3 linked regions of the Drosophila melanogaster genome follow. The protein of the gene in region 3 interacts with the protein of the main gene of each other region in a pairwise test. Each region holds a gene or a part of one and is shown on either strand. Other genes may lie near its edges. The genes, in order: scra, stumps and tum.

Region 1 (8,600 bases), 6.3 Mb from region 3:
GACAAGACATGTTACGTATATGGAAATATGCCCAGTATTATAGCCCTAATATTCTAGCGAACGTTGACAGTTTGATTGCTAAGCGGAGTATCCAAAGCAGTTTGAGGCAGTGTATCCGAATCCAGCGAATGCCGAATTACCAAACAGTAGCTACGCTGCTCTCGCCTTCGATTGATGTTCCCCCCTCCTTCCGCCTTCTGCAACAGAGAGTGTACATAATTTATATACATATATAATTGCATTCCAAACCCGATCCACCGAGGGCGCTGCTACTGTTGTACAAAGCACAAGTATATCCTGCATATCTGGCAAACTGTAATATTTTGGATGTTGATTTACAACTAACAGCAGATTCAAGTCAAAATATATACATACATATATACCTATACGAGAAATATATATCTATACATTTGATAGTGTTGTGAACTAGAGGAACCCACACTGAACACTCCGCCGGCGGCAATGCGTAATCCACTTTTGTAGATAGCCTTTAGGCCGACCTTTAGGCCAAGTGACAAACGCAAGGAAGTTACAATCTTCCACCCAGAGTCAATTGAGATGGCCAAGGAGCAGACACACTGACTACCTGACATGAACCACCTACACAGTACAGAAAACCTGGTGCCGAAGCCGAGATGGGCACTAGAACAGCCGGCGTCGTGATAACACGCAAGCTTTAACTTTCACTTGTTGTTAGATTCCGGATGGTCAGAGATAAAAAGATAGTTAACACGCGGAAGCCACGTAGCGATTTCTTCTTAGCCACGAGTTCTTGCAAAACGATATACATATGTGAATGTAAATGTGTACTACGTGTATAAAAGTATTCAATAAACTATATTAAATAATCAGTGTACAATTGGCGTTAGTTCTTTTTACGGGGGTTTACACATATATATTTAGCGAGTCATCCTAAATTAAATGTACATAAGTAAAAAGTTATGTCGATATAGACGAACACGAACGTGTCCCACTCCAAGATGGAAACGAAAAATTTGAATTGGAAACATAAAACAAAATTAATACCAATGCGAACACGATTAAAATAGCAAATTGAGTAACTTAAAAAGAGAAAACTGTTAACAACCCGCCCGTTTGTGGTCATTGTCCGTGCTGCTGACAAAATTGCAATGGGTCAGCGGGTCAGTGGGTGGTTCCCCAGGCGCGCAGCAGTGTCAGTGCCTTGTTAAGGTAGGCGCACCACTCCTCGCGCTCCTCCTTTGTGTCGGCTGAGAGCAGATGGCGCACCGTGGTGGTACGTCCGTTGGGTACGATTATCAAGGACTCTTGGTCTGTCTCCAGCGCCGGCCGTTCGCACTCCAGCAGCATGGTGTTGAGACGGGCGCAAATGTCGCGCGGTGCCGTGGTCACCTTCTGCGAAGTGCAGGAATTCAGATCTATACTACCCATTGGCGTCTTGCGCTTCTCATCATCCGGGTACTTCCAGTAGTTGATCACGGAGCCATTCAGATAGCACCAACGACGATGCCATGCCCCGAAACCGGAGATGTCTTCGAACATGGTAAGGAATCCCTTGTACTCCACGCTTACGGATAGTTCGCAATTGACTTTCATGTGAACCACACCCTCCAGTGGACTGACGCCCAGCACCTGGGTCAGCGTCCATGTGGTGCGTTGAATTTCACGCAGCGAGAAAATGGCAAAGCCGTATTGCACCAGCTGCGGTGTCCGTACCACATGCGGTCCCGCCGGACTTTGTACTGGCGGCATCACCAGTCGATTCTCGCCGCCCTTCTTCTTTGGCGTCTTGATGCCACCCTTCTTGTTCAAGTTGATGTGGTATTTCAGCTCGTGAGGCAGCTGATCGCGTTGGGCCAACATGCCATAGATTTCTAGCGTGATCTGCAGACGAAGTTTTCGCAATAAAATCGAATATTGGCTAAAGAAGCAAAAAGCAATATTTACCCTGAAGTCAGCATATACATTGTTTAGTTGCAGGACATCGGGAAACTTGACAGACAGCAGCCCTGGCATCGTGGGTACTGTCTTGGTGGCCAGCACGTGCTCATTGTACTTCAGGAGGCACACAAGATGATGGCCGTTAATGTTGTTCGAGGCCATTTTACGCACGTACTCCTGTCGCAGTGGAATGGTTATGTCCTTGACCGTCAGTAGGCCCTTTTCTTTTGGTGCACCCACCGGACGAATACTGTTCTCAACTCTTAAACGCTGGACTTCATCCAAACACGCCTGGCGTCGATGGGCTGCAAGGATATTAAAGAGATGTTCAGCTTAATTGGACATTCAAATTGCCAATTCGGTTTGGAATTCAACGAACAGGCAATTTATACTTGAATACACTGAAGATCACACTTACTTGCAAGAAGGAGATATCGCTCTCCCTCCACGGACTCTGTGGAGCCGGAGAATTCTACGGTGGCAGCACAAAGGTTGAGGGCCTGACTGGCTTGTCCTATCACCTGCTGCTGCTTGCACACCTCGCTCAACAGCTTTTTGATCTTGTCTTGTGCCTGCGATGCATCGTTTACTTCCCGCGCATTCTGCATCTCTTCATCGTCCTCGTCGGTCTGATCAGCTATGTCAGTTGCTGCTGCGACATAATCAGACTGCTGAGGAGAGTCGTACTCCAGTCTGTGCTTGGCATGACAATCGCCTGCTAGGGCTGATCGCATGACCTGCTGCTCTCGACAGATCTTGCGAACCGGTGTGGAATTGGAGCTCTATAAACAACGAGTACTTAGAATTTGTTAGTTGTGATATATAAGTAATCAACTCACGTTAGCGCTCTGTTGGCGGCGATAGAAGCTGACCGTGTGCACCAGGGTAACCAGGTTGTCGTTGTCCTGGTTGACACTCAATTCAGACTTGACCGGCTGGGCACCACTGAGCAGTGGCGTCTGCAGGTCCATCTCCATCTCATGGTGCTCTTCGATAGGCGTGCAAATAGAGGCAGGATTTTTTCGGAAGGAAAAGCTGTTTGAGGCCGTCGTTCCTTTGCTCTGAAAATGTAATTAAAGAATTGTTTTGATATACGAGGAAACTTAATCAGCAAGTACTCACGCCCAAGGACAGCCGACTGGCATTTTGCTCGTCCCCGCTGTCGCTCTGGTCATCCTGAGTGCTGCCGTAGTCCTCGACAAGTGCTTCATCCAGATAATCATCGATGCCCGCTGAGACCTGCGACGAGTTCAGAGAGCTGTCATCGTAATACATGTCCTGGTCCGCATAGCGCACAGTCTGGAAAGGTGTGAAATCGTGTTAATGGTGACCACCCGCTGTGTTGACAGTTTTTACCTGCACTTACCTTCTTGCCCGTCTGCTGCTGCTGCATCTCCACTTCGTTGCGCTGCACTGCGCTCATTATCTCGCGGCCAAGACTGCCATTGCACATGCCGGCGCTACTGTCCTCAGTCTGTGACTGGTCGTCGGACTCATCCATGCAACTGCACGAATCAAAGATAAACGGTTAGTTAAGAAAGCGATTTTATTGTTGGTCTTGTCTAGGGGATGGGGTTTAAAGCTATGTCTCTTAGGCCTATCAGTCTTGGAATGCTACTCGATGCAGAGCAGAAATAGCAAGCAGGAATAGCATTTTTCAGCGCACCTTTCGGTTTCCTCCTCGTCCTGTTGATGGCTGTCATCCGTAGCGGAGGCAGTTTCGGCGGCGCAGCAGTTGTCACCGCTGGAGTCGAGGTCGGACAGGGCGGGATACAGACGATCCGAATGCGATTTGCGGGCTCGCTTCGAATCCTCGTCAGTGGTGGGCGCATCACCAGCTGAAATTGCGGATGTATAAGGACAAGTCCTTAGATAAAGGGTTTAGTCATTTCTTACGTGATCGCCTCTTGCTGCTGGCCAGTCCGGGCGAGAGAGCAGCGATGGGCGGTGGTGGAGGCGGTGGCATGGGCCGCACTACTCTGCTGGGAGCTGGCGCGGGAGGTCGAGCTTGAGCAGCCACAGAACTATCGGATGGTTGATTGTCAAAGAGCTCCTTTTGTTTGTTAAAGCGATTAGAAATAATCTGCATGTCTTCCTGCCTTTGGCGATCAATGTCCTTGATACGCGTCTCTGCACTTGATTGCGCATTTGCCACCAAAGCGGCCACCTTGTCACGCAGCTTGTTTTCCTGTTTCGGCTTGGTTGCTGCAACCACGGTAGTAGCTGCGGCAGCAGTCACCGGATGCATTGCAGCTAAATGTTCTGTTAACAAAAAAAAAATGAGTATGAGTAGCTATTATGAATATAGAAGGGCTGCCAAACTCACGTTTCACCTCTTCCGCTCGGATTTGGGTAATACTGGGAGCAGATCCTATTGGCGCCATCGGCAACATCGCTTTGTTGTTGCCCGTTTCGAACAGCTTCATCCGCTCCTTCAGCGACAGCTCACAAGGATCCTTCTGGTTGCGTAGGCCTTGCGACTGTCCTCCGGTTCCCTTGTTTTCAAAGAGAGCCGCCCGTCCGGAAACCAAGCCGGACTTCACACTAACAGCAGGCGCTGGTGCGGGCTTAGGCGCTGGGGCGGAAGATGCAAAGTTCTTGGCGACCTGGCTGACCGTCGTTGATTTCTGCGGCACTGGCGGCTTGGCAGTTAATACCGCATCTTCCACTTTGGAGGCTGGGGCCGCCTCTTCCTGTTTGGCATAATCATATGTGTGTTTAATGGTCGATGATTCGCGGCGCTGAAAACCTTGTGCCTCCAGAGAGCTCAATACCTTGGGATCCCACTTCAGCTGCTTGGTCCTGCTTGCCTCGTCGACTTCATCCTTCTTGGGTGGCAGTGGAGCTGGACCCTTCTCGGCCCTTCGACTGGACAAATGCGGTTTCGGTGGAGGTGCTTCGAGCAGTCTGTGCACTTCGTGGTGCGACGTGTCATCCTCCCACTGATTGATGGTATCCGCCAAGGCGGCCAGTTTGCCCAACCGTTGTTTTGGTTGCCTGCTGCTACGGTTGCCGCAGTCCTCTTCCTCACCCGTTGTCACATGGAACTGCCCCTCGGTTCGGTGGATTGGGGAGGATAGATCGTCCGTGTTTGAGTACAGGGCACCCATGCGTTGCAGTCGGCTGCGGGAAGTGTCCCTTAGCCTGGCTAGGGGCTGGTTTACTGGTTCCGCCTCCAGCAGGGGATTTAGCGCACCTCCTTCCGCCTGCTCTTCGTCATCTGTCACCTCCTGCTCCTGAATCTCAACTTGCACCTGAAGGTAGTGCAGCAAGGATGAGCAAAAGGGAAGAACCCAGAAAAGAACGGGAAAACTTACCCCAATTGGCTTGTCCGTGGTTATGTTTATCTCTATGCCCATATCCAAGTTTTCCTTGTTTACCGCCGTATAGTGACGCAGCGGCTTCGCCGGCGACGCCTCCAGCGTGGCCTTTCCCAACGTAACGACCTTGCCGCCGCCGCTAGCCGCGCTCTGGCCTCCAGGCGACCGGCTCCTCGGTGCCAGGACCCCAGCATCCCCGCCGGATGCGGAGGTGGCGGAGGAGCTTGGAACGCTGCACTCGACGAGCGGAAATTTGCTGGCATTGCTGATGCCAAGGGCGCGACTGCGCTGTTCCGCCTTCTCGAGCATGTGCTGCAAGGGAAAATGGGAAATAGCAGTGAAAATCCGCGGGTGCCTTCACTAACACCAGTGCAATCACCAGACAAAGGGCTTTGCTGTGTGCGAATTGGCCTCGTACCTGAGTAAACGGGTCCATTGTTGTTGCTGCAGCTGCAAATGCAAATGCGAGTTGTGATTGCGCGCACTATGCTATTGAATTCACTGTACTGCTCGACACTCCACGTTGGCGATATTTGATGTTTGTTTTTCACTGGCGGGTTGCGCGTCCGTTTGCATTCGAAATTCTGCGCGTCGCTTCTGCTCGTTTCGGCGGTTGGCTTTTCAGATGTGTTGAATAATTTCAAAACGACGCGCAAATGCCATAGGACCCTCAACTGACCACGACGAAATACCGAAATTGGGGAGAAAATGCCAGTGGTGAGTTGCCAAGGGCTGCCACTTTGTCGTATTTGGCAGGGTGGCAGCTCTGTCGCACATCAATGGTTAAACCGGTTCACCAATCACACATATTTACCGGTTTAATTTCGGCCGACAGCTGTTTATTTTTCTTAAAGCGTTATCAAAAAGGGTTTTTATTGATGTTATAATATGAATATCCAACCGTAATTTACCACGTATCACTTTCAATATTTATCACGCATAGCTGGTAAGTTAAGAACCTGGAATTAGGCTTGAAATGCACCTTTGATTTCTCTGGTGAGCTGCACACGTTGTGCCGTCAGTGCTGTATGTTTTGGCTAGAATTTTGGCATGTTTCCTCTATTTAGGCTACCTCTTTAAGTTTGGCTTTTCTGTTGGGGTTTCGTTAATTAATGTAGGAAAACATTTCTGGAAATAATTACGCTTAAATATATAGAATTTGTTTTTTCAGTAAATTGTCAGCGTCCGCCATGAGTGACCAAAAAACAGTAAATTTGCTGTGGAACTGTGCCTCCAAGCTGACCGACCAAACCCACACAGAACGGATCCTCAAATCCTATTACATGTGAGATCCGTTGTCAATTCCTTAAGCACCCACTAAAATTTCGTTTCCAAAACAACCCAGAACCACCTGTAGGAAGCTGGCCCGGCACAATGTCCAGTTGCCCGAGGAGAGCTTTGGACCCGCACGCATGTGCTCCCGCTGCGGGAACCAGTGGACAGGTGGCCGCTACCAGCTCCACCTCCAGCCACAAGAACTGATGCAGAGTGCTAAGAACCGGAGACTGATCACCAAGCTGGAAGCCGTGAAGGGCAAGATGGCAAAGGGCGAGATGAACAGCGGGGCCAGGAAACGGGCCAAGTGGCTCAAGAAGCGTATGGCCAGTAACATGGTGAGAACCAGGAGCTAATAGAATGTCTAGAATATGTCTAGATTGTGGGAAAAAATACTTTTATTTCTTTAATTTCATAAATATAAATATAATATCTCTTTGCTTCCATGGATGAATGGTATAGATGGATAGTTTAGTACCTTATAAGCGCAATATAAATTTATGTATCAAGCTTCTGGGCAAATAATAATTTAAATTAACACCAAGGAAGCTGAAAGATCTTTATACAGTGTTTTGTGTGTGTACATATGGACCCATTCCTGCCACTCTAACCACAACCCAATTCATTTTGCAGGCCGTGGACTGCGATGTTTGCCATCACAAGACAATGTTGGCTCTGGAGAAGAGCCGAAAGCGCGCCAAAGTAAAAGCCACGGAGGAGACAATGGTAGTCACACAACCTGCGCCAGCGGGCCAAAACAAAAAGAAGGCCAAAACGAAGAAGTCTCAGGCGCCGAATAAAGATATCAATGCAGGCCTGAAAATGCAGCAAAAAGCGCCTCAGCGACAGCAGCAGCCTTCGAAATCGCCAGCTCCATCCAAAAACGCGTCCCAACCAGTCGGCATAGCTTCCCAAAACCCAAGTCAGACATCGAAGAAGAAAAAGAAGAAGCCTGCCCAGCCAGCGCCCACCGCACCAAAAACGCAGTCCAAAACCCAGAAGCAGAACGTACTGCTGCAAATAGCTGCCCAGCTGAAGTCGAACGCGTTTAAAGACGCCAGCAAAACGCAGCAGAATCGCCTCCAAGCGTTCCTCAAGTAGCGGCCAGAAGACAGCTCCGGCCATGCATTAAAGTACAAAGAATGAAAATACTTGTTGTGGCACATAATTAAGCGTTAGCACAATACTAGAATCAGACTCTTTGTGCCGCTTGATAAAGCCAGCCGAGGTGGGAACCTGTTATCCACTCGCCCGGTCTTCTGGGTCGAATCACGCAACGGCTATGCACTTATCACTGCTGCCGGAGACAAGTCCAGGCGGGGGGACCCAAGGTTGTCCAGATATTGCGCAGCCAACCTGGTCAGCATGCTTAATTTATTTCTCGGAGCGCAACGTTTAATTAAAATTGAGTTGTTTGCCTCAGCATCCCATGAACGCGTCCTTCAAAACTGCTGCCCAAAAAGGGCAGCCGATCGGCTCTGGACGGGCCGCTTTATCTGCCGCCGATTGTGAAGAGCACACGCACAGGAGAAGGCTCCAGACTCGGCTTCGACCCATGGCCCTCTGCTTACCCCTTTCTGTGCCGAAGACTCGGATTTCTCGGCAGCTGCGGCAACAACATCTGCCTGCCACATTAGAAGATTTCTGGTTCCACAGACTAGCCACTCGGCACGAACATCTTGTATGCATGCACATGCAGAATGAGGAAAAAAAAGTTTACCTTAGGGAAATAATGCCATTTTAAGGACAGTTACTTAATATTAAGAAAATGTGATATACAAACATAAATTGTAATAGAGAGTCTTGAAATTATAATACAAATATGTACAATTATTCGCAATGTTTATATTGTTGTAAACAATAATATTCTGTAATTAAATATCTGAGAAAGGGGAGCCAGAACTTCGACTATCGAGCGTACATTGTGCGCAACAATGTATTTGATGGCAGATTGAGCACCTTTAAGTCGTTCTACTTATGGGAGCCCGACCGTAGTGTAGCGGCCTGTTTTGCCATTGCCAAAATGGGCATGATGCTCTCTAAAATATGATATCAGCAGCGTGATCGTCTCTCCAAATGTGGCAA
Region 2 (6,047 bases), on a different chromosome or scaffold from region 3:
GATGTGCAGTTCTTCAATTTATGCTCCTCATGCGGCCACACCCACCGCCCACGTCAAGCGATTCGTTTGTTGACTCCACCATCCGCACATCCAATATCGCCCATGTTGCCCATCCGCCCCGTTGCCAGCAACATAATAACAAAATGCAATGGCCATTGTTATTGAAAGAGCGGAAATGCGTATAACTTATGCCAATCGAACTGGCAACTGCAGTGGGACACTCGCAAATATGGCAGAGATATTCGGTTCGGTTTGTTTTTACTTTGCCATAAATTTAGGTGTTAGAAATGAATTGTTCGTGGGTGTTGTGGGTTAATTGCCGATTGAGGCGAATTGCCTAGTTTCCTGCATATGGCGAAAGATTCGAATGGATTGCAAGTGACCATAGCGATAAGTGTGTCGAATATGGTGGGTGATCATTTTTAGAATAAGGCGCTGTGGGCAACCGTTATTATAATTGATAACAATAACAATAAGGGAAAGAATCTATTGTTTTTATAATAGTAAAAACTTTAATGGCACACTTCTAATAAATTGCGGCACTTCTAAAGCAGATCTACATGCTCTGAATTTCTATGTATGAAACACTCCTCAGTATCTCATCTACTACTTATTTCTCATCTCTTTTGAGACTCGAAAATCGCGCTGGATTTAAACGTCACACGAAGTGCCTTAAATCAACTTAAATCATCAGATGTCATGAAAGCGAAACCTTGAAAACGCTTATGATGAATACACAATGATCGTGCAAAGGAGTCCTGAGCGACTCATAAACCATAAACCTGTGACTTTTGCTGGACATACGAGTAAACCAGGAGGCCTTTCCATCTTGCATGCAACTGCCCACTTTAGGGGCATCCATCACACGGAGGACTGTCAATGTCAGGCCAGTCGCGAAATGTCAGTCAGCCAGGAAGGCGCGTTGCCAACAATCAGCTATATATACGCTCGATCGGCTATATGCGATCCCCTCATTACGCCACAAAATCGAAGGCAAACAGAAGCTCCACTCCACTGCCGGGGAAAAACAATGCCAAAACAAAGATTGGCGACGCTCTGGCGACAAAATACTATTACAATTATCACTTGCGTAAACATTGCAATGTTGTTAACGTGGTTTAAATGTGAGGGCGAACTGAAAGGGGCTGGGTAGTGGACCCAATTCCATGGCGCCTGCCAGGCGAAAAATGAAAAAACAAATTCCGAAGAGCTGGCAGTTGCGCTTAATATGCAAACGTGATGCAAAGCTGCGAGGTAAAGGTTGTTGGGCAGCCACTGGAGGAGTCAACAGGGGGGAAAACCCCAGAAGGGAGGACTTTTGGGGCATGAAAATGGAGTAGCAGGCAAAGGGGAGTGAACGCCTGACAGCCGCCAAAGTGCAAAAATGCGAACGCGAAACGAGGGCAGGGAATGCAATTTGCAACCACTTTGTCTTTGTCACTGCGTCGGCTGAACTTGTGGGGCATATTAAAATAACTAAAAGTATATTAGACTCGAGTAAATTAAATAACACAGCAATAAGCAGATATTTAAAAAATAGCTCTCAAAGAAAATTAAAAATTTGTGAGCCAAAATTTATTCCTTTAGGGACATAACAGCCATATCCTATAATCCATATACGTTTGCTGTCAACTATCGACTTTTCTATTATCTGAAAACTTTGCTAAACGATTTCCATTTACATGGATTACTTCTACTTATTGAGCCCAGATTAGCATAGGAATTCGCGATTGCCCCGTGGCATACTGAGCAGATGGGAAATGCAAGTGTCGTGGAACGTCAACTCACCTCTTCGTCGATGGGAACTGCCGCGGAATTTGTTTGGCGAGAGGAGCGGCGGTCGAGGCGCCATCATGCTGGGCACCTCATCCGGAGATCCCAGTCCCATTGCTCCAGAGTTCTGTTGATGTTGCTGTTGATGCTGATGTTGGGCCCAGTTTCCCAGGGAATGGCGACGAGTTCCGCCACTTGGCAGGGTGTGATGTCGATGCGATTTGCTACTGAGGATTGGTCGCAAAGATGGGGGGTGGGGGGAGAAAAGAAAGGGCGCACGATTAGCATGGGCGGAAAAGGGGGCGGTTCGAAACTGTCAACAGCTGCAATCGCATCCTGTCATCACCTCACCCTCCCCATTAAATGCTCGATTCTGGGGATTGCTCACCTTGTTGGCGATGTCAGCGGATTGAAGACCTCGTCGTGATCCCCAGCTACGGATGCACCTCCTCCTCCGGGACACTGGGAGCTGTGGGTCTCGTTGCAAGAATTCAGGCGTTCCCGGAACTCTGAGTGCGAATTTGCAGATCGCTGGCGGTACATGTTCATCGTCTGCAGTTCAATCGCGTGCTGAAATGCGCAAAACGGAAGAGGACGGCACATTAGAAGGGCTCACTCGACTCCACAGGAAGTGGCAGATCCAGCAGATAAATCAGAATCAGTATTCCGAAATCGGAGATCGGAATATGCTCTATTAAATCGCTACTCACTTGCGGATAGCCGGCGAGGGAATTGAAGCTGCCCCGCGGACTTCCTAATGCCATGGTAGCCGTGGTATCCAGATTGGCGGATGTGATCAGTCGCATCTGTTCCGGATTGGTCATCACCAGCGGCCGGGGGCTGCTGCCCTTCGAGTTGCGCCGCTTGAAGATCGAGAATCCCCGGCTGGAGGACTGCGAGTCCGGGGTGCGCGGCGACTTGGTTTCATTGCAAAAGTAATACGGGTTGTCTGGGGAGTTCAATTGCAATAGAATGAATGAGGAATGGAGTTAGTTTTCTGATTTGAACTTATCAAAGTTTGAGGATGTGCTTATAAAGTATAATAAATAACATTTATTTAATATCATATATGTACGTTTTTAATCTGTATGAATCTCTGTATCTTTGTATAATCTTTCGCTTTTGCTCATACTTTCTAACTTAAAACTTTGATATTTGTTACAATTCTTTTCGCATAAAGAAACTTATAAAGTCTTTAAGAAACTCTTTCACTCTTTTTACCTGAGAAGAAGGTGTTTGTGTTATCCACAGTGACAAACATCTTGAGATCCTTTATGCAGTGAATTTTTCCTTAGTTGATATGCGATTCGCAGAGTCTACCACAATTCAGAGCTCTGATTTGCGATGCATTTGCACTTTCACTGGCTGCGCATGCGCACGCGCCAAAAGTTGCGCACAGGGCGCGAATTCGAGAAACCGTAAACGGAAATCACAACGGGGAGTGCCACAAATGGCAACTTAACAAATTGTCAGTTTGAAAAAACGGGGCAAATAAATTCAAAATTCAAATTTAGGCGGCAATGCAAGTTCGTGATGGTTCGACTTAATATTTCACTTCAGTTCACTTGAGTTCGCGCAGTGCGTGCGTCTGCATTGACATCCCGAAACGGAATAAATTCTAAAACTTCAACGAGAACAAAACACTCCGCGCCGTCTGCATTTTCCTCTGCCACCGCCGATGTCTCTGTCGACGTCTCTGCCGACGCAGAGAATCCCTCCTCGTGTTTTGGTTTTTATTTACCATACGCGCACTTCTTCATCCATTCCCATTCTCAGCGTGCACTGATAAAAATAAATATACCGAAAAATCCCACCTTCTCATATTAATATTTTCTTTCGAATTCTCTAAGCGAAACTGTTAGGCATAATTTTCTTAATAAATTCAGATACAAAAAATTACTTGAAATAAGTACCACAAGATTTTGAACTGGATACATTAATTAAATAAAATAATAATATTTAATCGGTAAATTTGATTTCTTTATGTCTGTTTCTGTGTCTTCACTAATAAATTTGTACATCATTTTGAGAGATCAATCAATTCTCATCTCTTATTTTCTCACAGTGCAGCGACATCGGCAGCAGCATAAAAACATTGCATCTCTCCCTCGCACTCTCACCCCATCTCGCTCCCGCCCGCGCACGCACACACGCATACGGGATCAGTGTTTAAATATGGTTGCCATATTGCCATCACCCACTCGGTACTCCCCCACCCCTAGAAACCGATCGGCGATCAGGAAAACTCACTTTTCCTCGACTACAACGACTTTGTTGTTGTACCTGCGCATGTTTTTCTTTTGCGTGCGCTTTTCGCATGATCAAATTATCATCGCCAGCGCGCTCCGAGTCCATGATTTCCATGATATCCATGATTCCCTGTCCTCTGTCCCCTGTCCACTGTCCCTGTCTCCTGTCCCTTTCCCATTTTCCATCCGTGAGCGTACGTTTTGTCTTGGTCTCGTCGTGCATATTTGATGAGTTCCGATAGCAGAAATAGAAGACCCATCTAGCATATAAGCCAACTTGATGTGGCGCACATAGCATATACCATCATCATATATATTGTAGCATCTGAGGTGAGCCCCCCGGTTTAGTATTCCCCATGTTCTATCAGTGTCAAAGTTTGAGTTTGTGCGCCGAGTGTTGTCTGTGGTTGGGTTGGTCTTCAATTCGATGATGTTCACTGTCAGGAAACATTTATGAGACGTTTTTCGGGAGGGACCATGAGAACTCACCTTCGCAGAGCGGTGGGAGAATTAATCTTCCAAAATATCATGGGAAAAAATACAAAAAAAAAAAATTATACAAAGAGTTTTAGGATGTTTGATGATACAGATGCCAGAAATTCATCAAAAATATGATGATTACTTACGCTGTATATTAATATATTAGCATAAAGTAAACTCATATTTGGAGCATTTCTTCAATTGTCCTGAAGATACGCAATATTTGCCTTTCGACTTTATGGCAAATATGAAAATTGTCATCAATGTTGGGCCGAAAATAGAAGGCCATAATAGAAGCTATGGCCAGGCGACATATTCCAGCCACATTAGGGGAAACTCGAGAGCATCAAAGGCAGAAAAAAAAGAACGCGCATCGGAAAAGGCACATTAAAAATTGCAGCCAGGGGAGAGCAACAATTGTGCTAAGGGAACACATTTTCACATTTTTCCCCAGTGCAACTAGGAAAAAAAAAACTGAAACTGAAGCAACAACTGAAGTGGCAAAATGCTAGAGAGTCCATGTGGTCTGTCCGTGGAATTCCTAAGTGGACTGGGTCTAAAATCGGGCCTGCCATCGATACTGGGCCAACAACCAAATAACCCCTACCACACAGATGCCCGGCATATTGGGACCTATGGAAAAATCGTAAAACTCGGTACCCGAGCAGAAATTGCACATTTCGTAGTCCATAAAGGCGAGAGTCTGCCATCGAGGGTTGATCTTTGAGTGGCGGCTCTCTGCGGAGCAAGTGACTCTGCAACGTTACACTGGCAGAAATAACTTTAATGTTATATAATATAACACTTAGCATGTTATATCCTGAAAAGTTAAGATATTAACAAATGTAATGAGTTTCTTAAACATTTTAAATATTTCTCCCAGTGCAAACGTATTTGTTTGGCTGCTGCTGGATGCAAATGATCTTGAACCACTAGGGTACTTGCACTTGCAGCCGATTGCCTTGCTCGAGTACTTGGGCAAATGCATTTGCTGCACATAAATGTCAAATGCTTGTCTTCGCCAGCACGCTCCACGTGTTCCGCGGACGAGGAGGGTCTGCCAGGGGGATCTGGACTCAACTGGCGAGTCGTAAATCTGTAGACGCTCTACTGCAACGCGGCTTTGTCTAGTTAGTCACAGAGTGGAGCATCCCAACCCGGCTTTGTGCTGAGTTTCCATTTCCCTTGCCACGGGGATTGGGCGCCATTCGCTGCACTTTCGCTGATTGTTCATCGGTGTTGACGGGTTAATCACTACTACGCACCGCCTAGAGTTCAATAAATTCCCCGTGTTTTTGTTGTTCTCTGGGGTCAGTTATGGAAAAGTTCAATAGGGTGTGAATATATATTGTACATCTACCTACAAAGATGCATTTTGGTCTTACCAACAGAGGTTTGGATTATTAAAGATATTACTCTACCCTTTTGGTTTTCATTTAATAATACCCACTTCATGCACTACTTTAAACCCCTGTAAGTTTCCTCTTCGATCGAACAGAACATTGAACAAGTAATTACAGGGCAATAAAACCGATTTGAACAACT
Region 3 (6,113 bases):
ATTTGGAATAGGTCATGCATTGGCCAGAGGAGCAGTACATTTCCCAGTTGTCGCAGTTAGCCTGCTGCATCTGCGCCCGGCACAGCCAACCCTGCTCATCCGAACCATCCACGCAGTCCTGGACGCCATCGCAAACCGCTGTGCTGGCTATGCACGCACCGTAGCTGCAGCGAAATGCATAACCCGGACACCAGACCTTCTCACACATGGCGACCGTCTCATCGGAACCATCCAAGCAGTTGGCGCTCCCATCGCACAGCTGGTCCAGTTGGATACAGTCGCCTCCTCCACAGCGATGCCCGCAGCTTGTGGCATTTTGGGATCCCAAGCAAATGGTGACGGCTAAGGAGAGAAAAATCACCAGCTGAATTGAGAGATTCTGATGCGCTCCGAACATTCTAAATGGGTTCCAATCGACAGACTGACGGTTCCATGGCGCAGTTAAGGGTATTATTACGAGAGTTGTCCAAACCAGTTTGATGATGATACGGCTCTAGCTGTGCACAATTATCAGTCATGGGGTTTTCTGAGCGGCAGTCAGTATTTTCAATGACCGAGCTTATCACGTTTTTAGATAATCCTATCAAAGGGATATTCCAAAGTTGTATCGAGTTTGCCATTAGTTGTGATGCACGTTTTGTGGCGAAACATTCCCGTTTCCAAATCCAAATCCGGAAATGTTTAATATACTTTTGGTTACTAACATGCCTCCAATAATTTGCCATCAAGAATATAAAAAAGTAAGTTCACTAAACAGATTCAAAAATATTTGAACTTGAATAAAAACTTGTTATATTCTTTTATCGTTTATTTATATATTTGTTCATTGTTCTTATTGCTTTTCAAATGCATATTTTAGTTTATTTCTCTGGTGAGTATACTTATGTTAGTACGATAATAACGTGCTTTAGTTTATAATCGAACGCATAAATTATAAAGAAAAGCTTATGGTTGGGTTGGGTACAAATACAGCTCGGGGTTGGCTGGCCGGAAACAAAAAACTTGCAAAATACTTGAAGTAAACTTAAGTAACACGTCAAATGCTTTCCAACAAGGAAAGTCTCGTTATTTCTTGTGCGCAGATGCCGGCGGTGTGCCGTAAAACTTCCGCTTCTTAATGGTGCCTCCTTTGAAGGGAGTTGCTGTGAAGGAGAGATAATTAGAATAATTAAAAAAATTAGCTCATAAATAACTCACCATATAGCGAGAGTAAGTCATTTTTGTTGCTTGGCACCCGCTTGATAACTGTGGCCGGTGTTCTTGTCGGATCTATAACGATATATTGCTCCCAGAACGAAACGGGCAGCTCAAGAAGTGCCTTCATCACCTGCTTCTGGGTGAAAACTTCCGTGTAGATCGCATGCTGGTCGGGATCTGGTGTGGAGTAGCCCACAATGGTGGGGCCAAAGATGAGCGAGATGTTATCGATCGGCATTAGCACGACTGGGCACTGGGCAATTCGTTGGAAGTGCAGTATGAGGAAGGCCAGCGTATCCCTATTGGCCTGTGGTAGCTGCTTCACCGACTTAACCAACATATCCTGGGCAGTTTTGGTGTCAGGATTTTGGACTGCGTTTGCGAAATCCTTCCATTGGCTGGTGGGAATGAGAGGCTCTGTTAGGGACCTCAGGAAATCCTTGACACAACAGCACAGCACATAGATATCCGTGTTGCCCAAATGTGGAGTGGCCTTGCCTCGCAGGAACTGCTCCTTGAGGGCCTTGTACTCCCGCTCCGACGAGGACAATCGATAGAGGCCAACCTCGGTCAGGCCGCGGGCTTCAATCTCATTTACGCAGTGCACAATCAGTGCCGGGATCATGGGTGCAATAGATGGTGCAAAGTCCGTTACATAGCCAGTCATGGTCTTCGTCGTCGGTGTTCCCGTTTGCGGCACACAGCTAACGGTGAGCAGATACCGACAATCGATGTGACAGCGCACCGGGCAATCCCGACATCTCAGCCCAACGGCTCCAAACCGTATGCTGAAGAGTATAAAAAGTATTTAATTAATAAAAAAAACCTACTTGGAGCAGAACTTCTAGTAAGCTTACCGTTTCTGACACTGAACGCAATTGTCGCCACGCAAGAATGTCTTCTGACTGAAGGTGTGGTTCCTCATCAGTGGACGGTGCTGCAGTGGCGTTCCGGATTCAGCGACAACGTGAGGTGCCATAGCATTTACCGGCGTCAGCGGCGGTGCGGTGGCCTCTTTAAGCACCGATCGCCGTGGCGTCGAGGATAGTCCGTCGCCGATCCTCTCGTTGCCGGCAATTACAGGCAGCGACTCAATGGTCGACTCTGCACGAATCACGCCCTGTCCATCCTGGGGTATGGTGACCTTGGTGGTGGCACAAAAGCGCTCAGCGCCTTGACCCACGTCCACCGTGTGTTGCTCCACTCCGATTCCGACGCTAGAGCGCCGCGATTTGCCAGTGGTTGGTGTAGTCCCGGACATACTGCCATTCAGTCCAGTGCTCAATCGCGATCTCTTGTTGCCAACGCTAGGAATCTGGTTCTTGGGCAGCGAAGGACGATGCTCTCGCCAAGATTTTGATGTGCGCACATCGAGGAAGTCGTCCTCGGAGTGTGTAATAGACAAATCCGACAGCAACGATCCGGTGGAGTTGATGTCGCCATAGGACTTGTCCTCCCGCACGGCATTCAGGGACTTGCGCTTTCGCGACGAGGGCAGTGTGTGCAGAAAGGCCAGCTTGTCGCGGGTCTCGTTGTTCAGATTGCGCTCGTGTCGCAGCAGATCTGCCACAGCCATGATCTTGCTCTCCATGGCATCTCGTTCGTGTTCCGCCTGGCGGCGCGCCTTGATCTCCATGTCGATGATGCGGCGTGCGTGAAAGAGTTTGCCCTCCAGGTCGCCCATTTTGGTCAACGACTTGTCCAGCTCGTTTTGTATCCTGGCCGTCTCGGCCGCGTAGCCCGCGCACTTTTCGTGGTACTGCTCGAACATGCGCAAGAACCGCAGGAACTCTAAATGGAATACAAGCATCATGTAGGGCTTCATTTGCCTTGCGTGTTTTCAGTTTTACTCACCCTCCTCAGGAGTTCCATCGGTAAGCACTTGCATGCAGCGTCGCAGATCATCGAAGGACGCCAATGCGGAGAGCGCCATTTTTGCTTGTCTCGGTAGTTCTACGAATCGGTTTTCACTCGCAGGGACTGCCTGCACACTGGTTTCCTTGATTCAACTTCGAAATCTACTGAAAATCAGTAGTATTTACCCAAAAACGAGTGGCAAACGGAGCACGCTGCAAAAGACGCGCTGAATTTTTTCAAGTTCCGTTGTTTTCAAATTGACGCCATCTGCGCAGTGTGACCATTAATGGGTGGCTCGAAATAACAGTAGGGTAGTCATGCTAACAGAAAATATCGATCTGATCGTGTTAGAGATGATAGAGATTGTTTCAAGTTAACAATTCTTTCGGAATTAAATAAAAAATAATTTAATGTTATCCTATTAATACTTTTGAAATGATTATATTAATAATAATATAATTACAATATTTTTTTTTATTTACAATATGTCTTATATAAATTCTTATTCACATAAGCTACCATCACTAATATTTATTCCGACCCGAGTAGTGTTGCTAAACGAATCACAGTCTCGATTTTGTTTGAAAAATGTCTGTCCACTCACCCAATCCTGGCTTAATCCTCCAGAGCAAGCGTTTCAATGGACTGCGGAACATCCTGGAACGCGAAGGTCCCTTCTGCAAGGACGGTTTCGCGGCCTCGTCGGAAAACCTGGAGTTCTTGCAGACCAAGTGCCAGGTTCTGATCATCGGAGCCGGTGGCCTGGGCTGCGAACTGCTGAAGGATCTGGCTCTGATGGGCTTCGGCAACCTGCACGTCATCGACATGGACACCATCGAGCTGTCCAACCTGAATCGCCAGTTTCTGTTCCGTCGCACAGACATTGGCGCCTCCAAGGCGGAGTGTGCGGCTCGCTTCATCAACGCAAGAGTGCCTACTTGCCGGGTGACGCCGCATTTCAAGAAAATCCAGGACTTCGATGAGTCCTTCTATCAGCAGTTCCACCTGGTTGTCTGTGGCCTAGACTCCATTGTCGCCCGGCGTTGGATCAATGGCATGCTGCTATCAATGCTGCGATATGAGGAGGACGGCACCATAGATACCAGCTCCATAGTGCCCATGATTGATGGCGGCACCGAGGGCTTCAAGGGGAACGCACGCGTCATCCTGCCCGGTTTCACGGCCTGCATTGAGTGCACGCTGGACCTGTTCCCGCCGCAGGTCAACTATCCCCTATGCACCATAGCAAATACTCCCAGGCTTCCGGAGCATTGCATTGAGTACGTAAAGATCATACAGTGGGAGAAACAGAATCCGTTTGGAGTGCCCCTCGATGGGGACGATCCCCAGCACATTGGTTGGATCTACGAACGGGCACTGGAGCGGTCCAATGAGTTTAACATCACCGGAGTGACCTATCGCTTGGTCCAGGGCGTTGTCAAGCACATCATTCCAGCTGTGGCCAGTACCAATGCAGCCATTGCCGCCGCCTGTGCTTTGGAGGTCTTTAAGTTGGCCACCAGCTGCTATGACAGCATGGCAAACTACCTGAACTTCAACGACCTGGACGGAATCTATACCTACACCTACGAGGCCGAGAAGTCGGAAAACTGCTTGGCGTGCAGCAATACACCGCAGCCGTTGCCGATTGAGGATCCCAACACCACCACGCTGGAGGATGTGATAAAGCTATTGTGTGATTCCCCGCGTTTCCAGCTGAAAAGCCCAGCCTTGACCACTGTGATGAAGGACGGCAAGCGGCGGACTTTGTACATGTCCGGGGTAAAGAGCATTGAAGAGGCCACCCGAAAGAACCTTACTCAGAGCCTGGGCGAACTGGGTCTACACGATGGACAGCAGCTCACAGTCACCGATGCCACCTCGCCGTCCGCCATGACTCTGCAGCTGAAGTATCAGTCCAATGAGGTGGAGATGGTCTAAAGTGTATCACAGTAGATAACAATTTTAATACACAAGTCGTATATGTAAATAAACAGCAGGCTTAGCCTCGAGTTACGCATCTAAATGCTCATATCCAGTATGTACTTCTTGCCGGTGAATCCCTTGAAGCTCAAGGCAGCGGCCGCCGCGTCTTTGAACTTTGCCAAGGGCACCATCTCATGGTTGGGGGCCACGAACTTTCCCTGCTCCATCAGCTCGAAGATCTCCTTGAACATTTTCGAACGCTCTGGTGAACTGTAGTTCTCCTTGGACCAGCGAGTCATCCAGAAGCCTCTAAATGCAATGTCCTTGAAAATGAGGGGTCCAGTGGCCACTGTGACGGGTTCGCGGGACATTCCGCCGTAGGTGACCAGCACTCCGCCATTGTCTAGATGACGCGACACCTCCGTGGCGCTTTTTCCGCCCACACAGTTGAAGGCCAGACGGGGCTTTTTCAACTTGCCCGACTTGAAGATGTCACTGGTGCGAATTTCGGCCTCTGTTAGGACCTCGGTGGCTCCCAGGCACTGCAGCATCTGCTTCAATTCGGCAATTTCTGGGCGGTCGCGTACAATGCCAACGCTATTGATGCCCCAGGCTCGGCACAATTGGTGCACTGCCTGGCCGACGGCGCTATTGGCGCCGTTTTGGATGACCGTGTCACCCGGACAGAGCTGCACAAAGTCCTTTAGCATTCGGTAGGCAGTGGTGGGATTCACTGTCGAGGTGGCGGCCTCCGCCAAGCCAACCTTCTTGGACACGATCAATAGTTGATCCTCCTTGTAGACGGCATGGGTGGTCCAGGTGCCCAGGCCACTGGCCAAGGGAATGACGTGCTGTCCTGCCTCAAAGCCTTTGACTTTGTCGCCCACGCAGATGACCTCCGCCACACACTCATTGCCGCCAACGGCTGGAAACTTGGGCTTCACCGGGTATTTACCTGTAAAGGATTTATAATAATCATTATCAAAGTGACTTTAAACAAGCTAGGCTTCTTTAAAATTTAAAGCCACAACCTTGAGCATCGTTCAAAGTACAAAGATGTACTGATAACATTCGTTTAACTTTAAATGGATTACTTCTGATTATCCCATAACTGACTTTCAAGCAAGTGGGTA

Evidence for each region.
Region 1: the proteins of tum (region 3) and scra interact in a two-hybrid assay, tested with the Drosophila melanogaster proteins (2 studies listed by BioGRID).
Region 2: the proteins of tum (region 3) and stumps interact in a two-hybrid assay, tested with the Drosophila melanogaster proteins (one study listed by BioGRID).

Annotation. Positions count from the first base shown.
Region 1 is NT_033778.4:7,587,520-7,596,119, reverse strand, and holds scra (scraps), read right to left. Parts: upstream 6,002-8,600; 5' UTR 5,677-6,001; coding exon 5,659-5,676; intron 5,553-5,658; coding exon 5,238-5,552; intron 5,175-5,237; coding exon 4,247-5,174; intron 4,183-4,246; coding exon 3,817-4,182; intron 3,759-3,816; coding exon 3,587-3,758; coding exon of another isoform or gene 3,535-3,586; exon of another isoform or gene 3,451-3,534; intron 3,426-3,450; coding exon 3,287-3,425; intron 3,220-3,286; coding exon 3,043-3,219; intron 2,982-3,042; coding exon 2,760-2,981; intron 2,703-2,759; coding exon 2,339-2,702; intron 2,226-2,338; coding exon 1,927-2,225; intron 1,864-1,926; coding exon 1,144-1,863; 3' UTR 878-1,143; downstream 1-877. Other genes in the region: CG1360 (uncharacterized protein), read left to right, coding at 6,431-6,525, 6,586-6,853, 7,149-7,616. UniProt on the Drosophila melanogaster protein: Required for cytokinesis. Essential for the structural integrity of the cleavage furrow and for completion of cleavage furrow ingression and proper formation of the midbody.
Region 2 is NT_033777.3:14,588,957-14,595,003, reverse strand, and holds the start of stumps (stumps), read right to left. Parts: upstream 3,385-6,047; 5' UTR 3,035-3,384; coding exon 2,995-3,034; intron 2,723-2,994; coding exon 2,484-2,722; intron 2,344-2,483; coding exon 2,162-2,343; intron 2,001-2,161; coding exon of another isoform or gene 1,998-2,000; coding exon 1,789-1,997; intron 1-1,788.
Region 3 is NT_033778.4:13,855,356-13,861,468, forward strand, and holds tum (tumbleweed), read right to left. Parts: upstream 3,335-6,113; 5' UTR 3,131-3,334; coding exon 3,052-3,130; intron 2,989-3,051; coding exon 2,055-2,988; intron 1,986-2,054; coding exon 1,198-1,985; intron 1,143-1,197; coding exon 1,066-1,142; 3' UTR 795-1,065; downstream 1-794. Other genes in the region: CG6553 (uncharacterized protein), read right to left, coding at 1-397; Uba3 (Ubiquitin-like activating enzyme 3), read left to right, coding at 3,643-4,995; CG16935 (uncharacterized protein), read right to left, coding at 5,076-5,935.